Linked DNA regions of Schizosaccharomyces pombe. The protein of the gene in region 2 purifies or fractionates together with the protein of the main gene of each other region. This does not show direct contact. Each region holds a gene or a part of one and is shown on either strand. Other genes may lie near its edges.

Region 1 (3,758 bases), on a different chromosome or scaffold from region 2:
TTTTCTTTATATATAACGTCAAGAATTTGAGTTGCGGTTTCATCGTTATCTACCACGATATGAAATAGACTGTTCCCAGCAGTAGCCTCAACAGCGACCTTGAAACGGTTATCAACCTTGAAAAGCTCACAAAGTGGACCATAGTAACCTTCGAGTTTCAGACGTTCAGCAATGTCTTTGACAGCTCTAATACCATTACTTGTATTCCGATCCATTGTAGTCCCCAAAGCCTTCTCAGAACGAGAAAGATCGTCCTTAACATTTTCGATAGACGACTTAAGTTTGGCTTCTTCTCTCCACAGAGATTTCCTTTTGTCCGTCAAATTTTCTTTCCTTTCATTAATTGAAGTAATGTTAGCAAGTAGTTGCGACATTCGATCACCTTGAGATTCAAGGGAAATTTCAATTTCCTTTTTACGAGATAATTTTGCTTTGAGTTCATTTTCCATTTCGTCATACTCAGTCTTCAAGTAATCACTGTTCTCCTTTGTAGAATTAATGTTACGGTTGATCTGTAAGAGCTGATTTCTGATCCATTCATCACGTTCTTTTTTGGTAGTGAATTGAGAAGTCCTCGATTGCTTGTCCAAAAGTGATTGCTTCTGATTTTTGAGCAGCATGATTCTTTTATTAAGATCATCAGCTTCAGATACTATAGCGTTATACTTTGGAAGAATTTCTGAAAGCTCATTTTCTTTCTCAGAGATTTTTGACTCTAATTCAGAAAGTATGTTGAGCTTTGAGCTCTCATCTTTCTTCGAAAATTCAATTTGACGTGATAATTGAGAAGACTGTAATTCCAATGCGACTTTACTTTTCATAATATTGGTATAATCCTCATCGTTTTGCTGTTTTTCAACACGTAAAAGCTCAAGCGAGTGGTTGAGCTCTGTAATTTCAGCCTTAATTCGTTCAATGCGTTCCTCTCTTTGAATGAAAGCACCCGAATCATCATCATTACGCTCAAGTGCAGCTATCCGGTCTTGTTCTAAGGCATCCAATACGGAGTTAATCTCATCATGCTCGCGAGAATAAATAGCATATTCCAAGCATCTTCTTTCGTTGTCTTTTTTGTGATAAACTGCAAGATCGTTTTTCTCCTCTTCTAACTCACGCAACCGTTCTTCAATGTATTGCAAAAGTTCATCAATTTTCTCCGATTTTTGAATTGTCTCGTCCATAATTTTATTGGATTCAGCTCTTCTGTTCTCATAAATTTGAGTACCTGCAACCTCTTTTAAAAGTTCTAAACGCTCTGAATCCTTTGCATTGGTTAGGGATGTGACCCTTCCTTGAGGAACAATGTAGTAAGGATTGGATCTTGAAAACCCAGCAGACTCGAGAAGATTAATAACCTCTGTCTTGCTTACAGTTTTCTTATCCAAAGAGTATTCGTCTTTTTTCAATCCAATTGTACGACGCAAGACAACTTCGCTTTTACCGGTGGGAAATCGATTATCAGCATTAGCGAACGTAACTTCAACGTATGCGCTCATGACAGTTGCACCAGGGCCTTCATGCAGCAAAGCTTGTCTTTCTTCACGGCTTAAATGTGTATACGCATCACTTAATACGAATCGAATTGCAGCAAAAAAATTGCTTTTACCAGATCCATTTCGTCCCACAATTACATTGTGGTGAGGGCTTAAAGGCTCTATTACAGTATAATCTTTATAAGATTTAAACCCTTGAATAACAATCTTAATAAATCAGTTAACTGGGGTTCTATAATGCTTTACTTACTTTTGTGATATACATAGATTTGTGGTTGGTTTGGGTTAAAGTATTTACGCGTCGCGTGTCTTCTTTATGGCGTGTAAGTATCAATCTTTGTGGTAACAGAGTTCTAAGAATCTACAACATAATAATTCATTCATACTAACCAAGATGAGAAATTCTTTGAGTTGTTGATGTTGATTTTGTTATGTTTTTTCTATATGAAACTGTATTAACTGAAGATCGTTTGCTTTTCTCTTTACTGCCGCATCAATTTCCAAATATAATATTTCTTTATTAAACTACTGGGAATGCACAATCAAATTGGTAGAAAGCGCGCTAGCTTAATTGAGTATGTGATTTTTTAGATGCCAAGTATGCATTAGTGTTAAATAAGCAAGCTGCTCTTGAGCGTCAGCGTTTCAGTAATGAATTTAAAAAAATGCATATATGAGCTTATGTATTGTTTCTTTTCTATCTGACTTTTTATTGTCAAGCTTTAATGAGGAAAGCCGCTCACACTAACATTAAATGTCTTTTGGAAATGTAATATATATTTTATTGATCGAAGAATGGAAAAAATATAATCCACTAAATTAAAAAAAAAATCATTGGTTTGCAAAAATCATCTTGTAACTTATGGTAATCATAATTTGCTAACTTCTTACATTTTTATATACCAGTTTTATTTACAACAAAAAGTTTTTACTACCACCTACAAAATACAAAAACTTGGATTTGTATCCAGTTCTTTGTCAAATTTTTAAATAAATTATTCTTTTATTGATTTATTTAAAGTTTAAGATGGTTGAGGAGTTAAAAAACGATGCACAGACAAATGAAGAAGAATCAGAATATAGCGACTTTAGTGATGGCTCTGACAATGATTACTTTAGGGAAGACGATATAGACTGGAATCAAGCTTCTTCAAGTAAGTTCATATACTGAATAGCCAAAAGCACTTTGCATGAATTTTTGTTACCATTTTTCATGATCATTAATAACATTTTTACTAGATTATTCTGCTAGACAGGAAAATTTTGGGAATAATTCTTCTAAGATCAATTCAGTTAATGATCACGTTTCTACGCTTAGTCGTTATGTGAATAATATAAAATTAAATGACAGGTTTGAGGCAGAGGGTAAGTGTAATATAGTTTAACTGCTCATAGGTTTTAGAACTCGAGGTCTTTTGATCCTTCACACTTTTACATTTTCATGTTTAATAGTACTGACAAATAAAGACAAGTCATCTATCAAGGATAAAAGTGACCGCGCTACATCTGAACAAGTGCTGGATCCCCGTACTCGAATGATTTTATTAAAATTAATAAATAATGGAACTATATCAGAAATTAATGGTTGTATAAGCACGGGAAAGGAAGCAAATGTGTATCATGCAACAAACGAGGATGGTAAACATTTTGCTATAAAAATTTATAAGACTTCAATCTTAGTATTTAAGGATCGTGACCGCTATGTTTCTGGAGAATTTCGTTTTCGTCATGGGTATAACAAGCGCAATCCCCGAAAAATGGTACGCTTATGGGCTGAAAAAGAAATAAGAAACTTGAAGCGTGTGGCTGCTGCTGGTATTCCTTGCCCAGAGCCAATCTTATTGAAGCAGCACGTTTTGCTTATGTCGTTTCTGGGGGACAAGAAAGGATGGGCATACCCCAAGTTAAAGGATATAGATATGACGCCTGGTGAGGCTACTAAATTATATCAGCTTGTAGCACGGAATATGCGTATTTTGTTTCATGTTTGTCATCTCGTGCATGCTGACTTGTCAGAATATAATTTACTTTATCATAAAGGTAAAGTTTATTTTATTGATGTATCACAATCGGTTGAACATGACCACCCGCAGAGCATCGATTTTTTAAGAATGGATATTTTAAACATTTCTACATTCTTTAGGCGTTTGAATGCTGGTTGCTTATCTTTACCTCAATTATTTAAATTCATTACTGAAGAAGGAAGTTGTGAAAAGGAAGCCATGAAAACCCGGTTAAATGCAATTTATGAGGAAGAACCTACTA
Region 2 (3,758 bases):
AATCATTGGGTAATAAGCTTGAAAATGTTATGCGCCCATTATTTTCATAGATAGCCGTTTTTGCATACTCATAAAAGTTTGCGCATTCTTTTTCCATGCTCAACATTAAATGTGCATTTTCTTCTTGAGTATTTTTGTATAGTACGAAGTCATCAGAGAGTTGTAATGAAAGTTCTGAGTTCAGAGTTTCATGAAATTGACTTGATTCTAAGGCAGGAAGAAATTCTACCCTACTCGGCATCGATGGGCTATGCGGCAAGCGCTTCCTATATTTAGTGTCAAGCAAGGGGGTGGAATGCTCACTACCAGTTTGAGAATGGCTTTTAGAATTTATGGCACTGTTTGATCGAGATGAAGTATTCCAAGGTATGTTTAAACCTAATTCACCCTGAACATCCCGTCCAACTTCAACTTCAGAAGTATCAATGTTCCTCAATACATCGTCAATTTCAGAGGGAGTATTGTTTGATGGTTTGAGCTTTTCAATCCATGGTTTTAAAAGAGGATGGAAAGATTCCCAATCAAAGAATTTGTTCAATTCTTTCTTCTTTGCCGAAGAAGCTCCTCTACGACGAACATACTTTGTTGCTTCCAAAGCAATCATTCGTTCAACATAATTCTTTCTCCATTGGGACAAAGTTCGAGTAGACAGTTCTATGTTTTCATCTGGCTCCAGCAGTTTTTGGACCTTTCTTCTTTTTAAAGCTCGCGGTTCATTTTCATTATGCTCTGAATCCATAACAGATTGCAATGGAACGGGTAACGGTAAAACGTCCTCATCGATTTCGAACATGTGAATCCTTGATTCTTGTTCTTCACTATTGTATTCTCTTTGAACGGAACCAAGATTGCTATGTTGTGAAGCAGCTTGTAGCGACGGATCCGAATTTATAGTGCCCTTGGTCAATTCCTGGATATCCCCGTTTTCATCAAACTCAAAGTCAAGGGGCTCTTCTGTAGAGAAAGCTCTGGAGTCCTCGTAAACAAAGCTCGAAACATTGTTTCGTAAACTATAATTTTGGCTGGTATTGATCAAATAAGAAGTAGAATCTGGAAGAGTTTCAAGAACTGAAATATTGGGATTTTCCTTGGGTTGAGTGAAAGAACTCATGTCAACATGTAGATCCACAGAAGGTAGATTAAATGCATCGTAGAGACTAACTTCAGGGATAAATGCAGGATCTTCTGCGAGTAGTAACTGCTTTGGGCTAAAAGGTTAGCAATTTGAATATCTGTCATATTATCCAATAGTACTCGTACTTCGTTTGTTCATTCTGAATATCGATATTCTTAAACGGTTTTGAAGTGAAATGGTCCAATTCTTTTCGAACACGTAAATGAAGAGTTGAAACTTGGGCTAAGCATAATTAGTAAGAAAATTGCCAGCCTAAACTACTGTCATCACATACAATGGAAAAATGAGTATTGATGGGCCCATACACGCGTTACACCAATCATTAAATTACTACTTAATCGTAGTGCCAACGGTTCTGGAGAAAAGGCAACAAAATCGCAAGCTTCATCGATATCTACCGACATAATGTCTTTCTTGTGAAGCTTGCGTAATGAATGTTTTGAACCCAATGTAGCAGCGAGCCTATAATTATTAGCTTTATTATTATCTTGTAGTAAATCTATACCAAATTACTCCCATTCCTCCCTTTTCCTTTGTAAGAACATCTTGATTGTAAAACATGGTGAAAGACAGGAACGCGTTAGTTCACCAGATAGCTTATTAAACGCGTCAAAATTATATTTGAAGTTCAAGCATAGAAATACCGCATTGTTAAACCATATGAGCTAATCTCACATAAAATCGTTATTAACGAATACTTAACAGCTCGGCACATGTTATCCAACGTATACTGCAGTGAAGTCTCCATTGCTAATATATATTGTCTTATTAAAATCTAAGTAAGGATTGAATATTTAAATATCATTACTTTGATTGAGTCAAAACACAATGTAATGGAAGCTAATGATTAATAATTGAGCTAAGATATGTGATTTTAGTGCCCTTTCAATCTTGAGCTCTCCTACCAAGGTATCCATAGTTAATATTGTACAAGCAATTTCATTATTGTGCCACTAGATCGAATAGAGATTATACGAATATAACAAAACTTAACGTAAGTTGACATAGCTTATTAAAAGATCGTGGAAATTTTTAACGCACTATTATGCTGTGAACGATGTTTGTATAATAGGTTAAATAAAGTCATTCAAGTTGTACTAAGAAGTTTGAAACTCAATAAAAGAATTTTAATAATAATGGTTAAACATTTCAACATACTGCTTGAAACCATTCATAAATACCGAAATTTTATCTATCTTTCAACTGACATTTATTTGTATTGATAACACATATGATTGCTAGTTATAAAATGTTTCATTAATGGAGCAAACTACATAATACTCAAATCACCAAACTTTTCACGGTAGCCTGGGATGACCCATTTGCCCTTGGTAACCATTGTTTCAACAATCTTCTCAATTTCGGGAACTGCTTGTTTCATATCCTCAATGGTAATTTCTTCAGTAGGCCTAGCTTGTTCAATGTTCTTCAATGTAGCACTCAAATTCTGTAATTCAGCTTTGACAAGTTCGACATTCTTCTTAGCACCCTCGCTAGCTTTTGCTTCAAATGCATTGATCGCTTTGAGTTGCGAATTTAAATCAATCTTCACAGGTTTAAAAGATTTCATAGAAGACTCAATACGATTTACAATCTCCTTGTTGGCTAAAACACTACGATAGGTAGCAAAGTCGACTGTGGTAGCCTGCTCTCGCAATGTACCCAATTTGGCAACTGCCTGAGCATGACGAGAGCGAAAATTAGCAATAGCAGAAGCAGTTGCGGCATCAAGCTTCAGCTTGCTAGCTACACTAGCCCAATCAATCGCCTTTCCAGCAGCGCTAGCAACTTTCGACATTTGCGTAAATAAAGAAGAAAAAATTCAAAATTCAATAAAATAACAGTTATATTGTTAAACAATTTAACTGTCTTATAAATATTTCCTGCTTTTGGTTATGTGTTGAAGAGATGGGGGTAGTTGGGGAACGGATGATTTAGCATTGCCAGAGCCATATTGCCAGGTGGTTTGGCTTTCAGCAGTAGGCTTCCTTAATGGTTCAAAAAATATCATATAATTGGGTAAATGAAAGCAACAAGTACAAAATTACTACAAAAAAAAAAATTAAGCGGTTAGAATAGAACTTGTGCCCTACAATTAGTATACGCTCCACTCATTCTTGTGCTAATAGAAATTCAAAGTTAGCTGTAAATTTTGATTTACCGGTGTATCACCAAATCACTTTGTACTTCTCATGTTTAATTTAAGATTTCATTTTTGAATGTCGAGAAAAATTATTTAGTAATTGGTTTATTGATAATTTATAAATAATATAAAAGAATTACCATAGTAAAAAGGAAAAAGAAAAGTTCTAAACATATTGCCATAACTATAGTTACTCGCGTAAACGTGCTTCCAATTCTGCTTTACGAGCTTTACGAAGCTGTTCAACCTCATCTTGACTAGTGTTATAGCTCACATTCATCTGAAATTGTTAGTAAAAATGATATTTACAATGGTTTTCCTGTTTAGGGTTTATACATGATATGGTCATCATCAAAAAGAGTATGCATGTACCCTTATCGCTTCTTACCTTATTGAAAGGATTGTCCGGATGTTTCTGAAATTCTTTATACATTATGTCTTCATATTGGTTTAAACGGAGGCCCGGTTGTTCTTTGCGTA
Region 3 (3,758 bases), on a different chromosome or scaffold from region 2:
CGTAACGTTATTTAAGTATAGTAAAAGATATAGAAAACAAGATGGAAGAGGGAATTCGGAAAGATAGTTATAAAATAGACAGTAGTTCCAAGTCTCTGGGGGATAATAGGGGTGGTTTAAACGACAAACTTAGCAAACGGAGTGGAGAAAAACTACTACCTTAGGTAAGATATAAAATGCCCTCGAGTGATTGCTGTAGGAAATATTAAGACAATGATCCGTAATAATAAATATCGTAGGCTTAATAATAGCAAACTAACTCAGAATATCATTGTTAACAACTTCTGAAAGCAAACTCAAATCACACTTAGTACCCAGTTGTGAGCAAAGGCGCTAACTCGCTTCATTCTATTCTCCGAGTACTTTCGGTAAATGGCATTGTGATGGTTAGGGGCATCGACCAAACATTCCATAATGATTATGGCACACGGTTTCAATTGACGAGCCGTGTACCCACTATAATATACATGGCAAGGAGTCCAATCCAAATGACCCAACATCTGCATAGACAAGTAGTAGGCAGTAGCAGCAATGAAGCTAATATGGGCACCTATAAAAATTTCATCCATCAAGGTTACTTCTTGAAGATATTTGGCGAGCATGCGAATGTCGTGATCGTAAGAATCAGCTCGACTTATACGACGCAAAAACGACATGGGCCCTGGCCAACTAATGTCAAAATCCAAAAGCATCAGCATATAGCGCTCGGCTCTAATGATTTCGTCAACGGTGAAGATCCCTTGGACAACATGCGCAAAGTTGTAGATGCTTGGAGGGTGTATCTCTTCATACTTACAGGCAATCAGCAAAGCTGATAAACCTACCAACTGGACTTTTTGCAAAGATACGACTTTTATGGAAAGAAACCGGTCGATAAGGTTTACCGCCAAAAATAATGTCTCAGGAAGTAAACGAAAATGTATTTGAACTTGCACAATCCAATCAACAAGCATATGTCTTGTAACCCAGTCAATCTCTTGCTGAACTGACATGTAATTAGGAGGTGGAGCCAGCTTCCTTTCCAAAGATTGCATGTAGTGAAATATCTCAGGATCATAGTCTGGTACCATGGATGGATCAGTTTCTATATCCTCAGGCGATGGGTTAGCTTGTAATCGAGCAGCAGCTTCAGACAGGGCGGCTAAATCTTCCTTGGTCCACTCGGGAATTGTTGGTAGTCTATGCTTCCCGTGTGTAAGAATTCCTTCAGGTGCGTCAAAGCTGCCCTCACGGTTTTCCAAATCATCATCTCCAATAGACTTAGGAGTGGAGCGAATTGACCGTTCCTCTATCTCGACTTTGTCCTGGTATGCAAAATCCTCTTCAAAAGTGTCGCCAGTGGACGAAGAGATGGAGGATTCATTATTCCCTTCAATCAATGTTGGTTCATCTTGTTGATTGATGTTATCTACTGCCTTGAAAGGTGCACGAACACCCGTATTTAACTTGATGTGACTTTTCTTCTTCACATAAATGTGATCCTTTTGTAGCTGATTCTCATCTTGAAAATATGTTGCGTGTCTTGTTTGAGTCGAAACGTCCATTAGTAAACCAGCACACACTTGTTTAGAAAGTTTTGGACATGCGATGAAAGTCGGTTTTCAAACTGCCTTTTACTCAGGTAGGAACCCTAGTCTTCTCTTTGGAAAAGATCCTTAAAAATTTAGATGCTTTTCGACTTCTAAAAATTCGAAAAAATGACTCTACACCCAAATATATGAAGATACTATTGAACGAAGGATTCGAGGAAAGTAATCTTTTGGATTGACCAGAAAGATTAGTACTACAACAGTACAAGAACTAAAAATCTCAAATGAAACCAACGAACAAGAGTATTAACCAAAAGTTGGAGTAGGACTTTGCAAAGGAATACCGAGCTACTACTAATGAGAAAAAGGAGTTGGTGGGTTCTCAAAAGGGGTCAGGGAAAAGCCCGAAATTCCGAGTAAAAACGCGTTCTTATTCATAAATTAGTTACTTTATGTTTCAAAAGTAAAACTTTAATAAATTATTATATACTTGATTGCAATGGTTGTATGTGAACTGCAAAATAATTAATGACTGACTGACGCGACTCGTGTCACGTAAACAAACCCATCGTTTCTGTTAGATTAATCTTTGCCATAACCAACCACCATCGTACCAATTAATTGAGTGATTTCAATGAGATTCGAATTTGAATCAGATGCAAGCAGTCATCTCAATGAAGTCCTTACTGAATTAGAAAGCGTGGAGCTTGAAAATGTTGAATATGAAGGTCCAAGTTTACAGAATGTCAGCATTTGTGCCTCGCCCTCAGAAAAAAAGCGGAAATGGGGAACACAAGATGAATTTTCTTTGACGGAGAATGAAGAAAATAATGAAATAGAGACGAATGAAGAGATGCACGTAAATTCTCATGATTATGCCTTTCCACAAGAATTTTTTCGTAAGTTTGCTTGCTTATAAGAGAAAAAAAGTCTTCGATAATATATTCTAACAAGCATACGAAAAGTCAAACTGTTGGATATAGATATGCCGCTCGAGCAACTTTCTCAACATTATTTTGAAGACTATAAAAGTAATAGCGCTGACTTCATGCTGACCTTTATAAATTTCGCATTAGTTGTAAGTTTAGCAGGAATGATCCGCGACGTTTTCTAGCTTTTGCTGTTTTGTTTACTCTTCCTTTGAAACGTAAACTAATTCATAGGCCTCTGGTTGTCAACCCTTCGTTACGAACTTTGATGTACAGGACGTAGATTCAATTCCTGAAACATTGTCTCAGGTCAATCGTTCAAGTTTTCAAAAGGTGTGTGCATCATCTTTTTGTAATATTTACTTACCATACATATCGCTAGTCTTCTTGCGCTTATACTGATTATCTTTATACTTCTAACTCTAAAGAAGCTAAAACGGTGCGTATTCGTTTTCAGCTTTTTTTGGTCGAATTCATCAGTAAAGTTTACGTGGAAGACGCATTCCTCGGAGACTCATTCATGGAAACTACAAAAGCTTGGATTTTTACCATGACGACAAGTCCTTGGATGCTTGTTAGACATACTGCAACAACTATTTGCTGTGATATCATGCGATGCTTATGCCTTATAGTAAACAAACTTTCCGAAAAATCAAATCAAACTGCGGAAATTCTGGTACTGAGAGACTTAACATCTAGGTTCATTGACATGATTCACGACATTTGTGATAGGTTGGCAATACTACTTTTCTTAACGACTCTAACCTTTTTACTAGTGTACTATTCTCAAGGATTCATGATATACGTGCAAGCATTCGTATAGTGTGTGTTACTGCTCTATATGATTGTTGCCAATTGCTTCCCACCTATCTTATAAACAGAAATTTGATTAGACATTCTGGCTGGGGGTTATCTGATGCAGTAAGTGTATAAACAATCGCTACTGCTGTATCATTTAAATACTAACTGAACGTATAGGAATCACAAATCCGAAAAATCTCCTTAAAAATAATAGATTATCTTTCTTCTCATGAACCTGAAAAAGATCAAGATTTTGTGGTTGATTTTCTTGACAGATTCTCGTTAAGAATTGTGGAGATATGTCGGTACGATATTGATTCTGTTCGATCTGTTGCCCTCAAGACATGCGAGAAACTGATGGAGAAAATATCGTTGAATGGAAAATGTATCAATATTGTTTCTAGCTGCATATTTGACGGGAAGCCCCAGAATCGAATCTCGACAATGCGAATCCTCGTTGCCCATACTAATGAACGCTACGCAAATTATTGTGAAGCAA

The links.
Region 1: the proteins of rec8 (region 2) and psm3 purify together in Schizosaccharomyces pombe (affinity purification with mass spectrometry; one study listed by BioGRID). This does not show direct contact.
Region 3: the proteins of rec8 (region 2) and rec11 purify together in Schizosaccharomyces pombe (affinity purification with western blotting; 3 studies listed by BioGRID, with this or other methods). This does not show direct contact.

Annotation. Positions count from the first base shown.
Region 1 is NC_003424.3:1,223,079-1,226,836, forward strand, and holds the start of psm3 (mitotic/meiotic cohesin complex ATPase subunit Psm3/Smc3), read right to left. Parts: upstream 1,781-3,758; 5' UTR 1,759-1,780; coding exon 1,744-1,758; exon of another isoform or gene 1,701-1,743; coding exon 1-1,700. Other genes in the region: rio1 (RIO family protein kinase), read left to right, coding at 2,521-2,647, 2,733-2,858, 2,961-3,758.
Region 2 is NC_003423.3:2,566,876-2,570,633, reverse strand, and holds the start of rec8 (meiotic cohesin complex kleisin subunit Rec8), read right to left. Parts: upstream 1,697-3,758; coding exon 1,641-1,696; intron 1,632-1,640; exon of another isoform or gene 1,598-1,631; coding exon 1,410-1,597; exon of another isoform or gene 1,358-1,409; coding exon 1,261-1,357; exon of another isoform or gene 1,209-1,260; coding exon 1-1,208. Other genes in the region: atp7 (F0-ATPase subunit D), read right to left, coding at 2,406-2,933; oxidative stress transcription coactivator/ribosome recycling protein Oxs1, read right to left, coding at 3,469-3,558, 3,667-3,758. UniProt on the Schizosaccharomyces pombe protein: Involved primarily in the early steps of meiotic recombination. Required to ensure reductional chromosome segregation.
Region 3 is NC_003421.2:1,225,331-1,229,088, reverse strand, and holds the start of rec11 (meiotic cohesin complex STAG protein Rec11), read left to right. Parts: upstream 1-2,120; 5' UTR 2,121-2,163; coding exon 2,164-2,428; exon of another isoform or gene 2,429-2,494; coding exon 2,495-2,607; intron 2,608-2,622; exon of another isoform or gene 2,623-2,692; coding exon 2,693-2,791; exon of another isoform or gene 2,792-2,840; coding exon 2,841-3,190; intron 3,191-3,234; coding exon 3,235-3,379; exon of another isoform or gene 3,380-3,436; coding exon 3,437-3,758. Other genes in the region: G1/S-specific B-type cyclin Cig1, read right to left, coding at 297-1,544.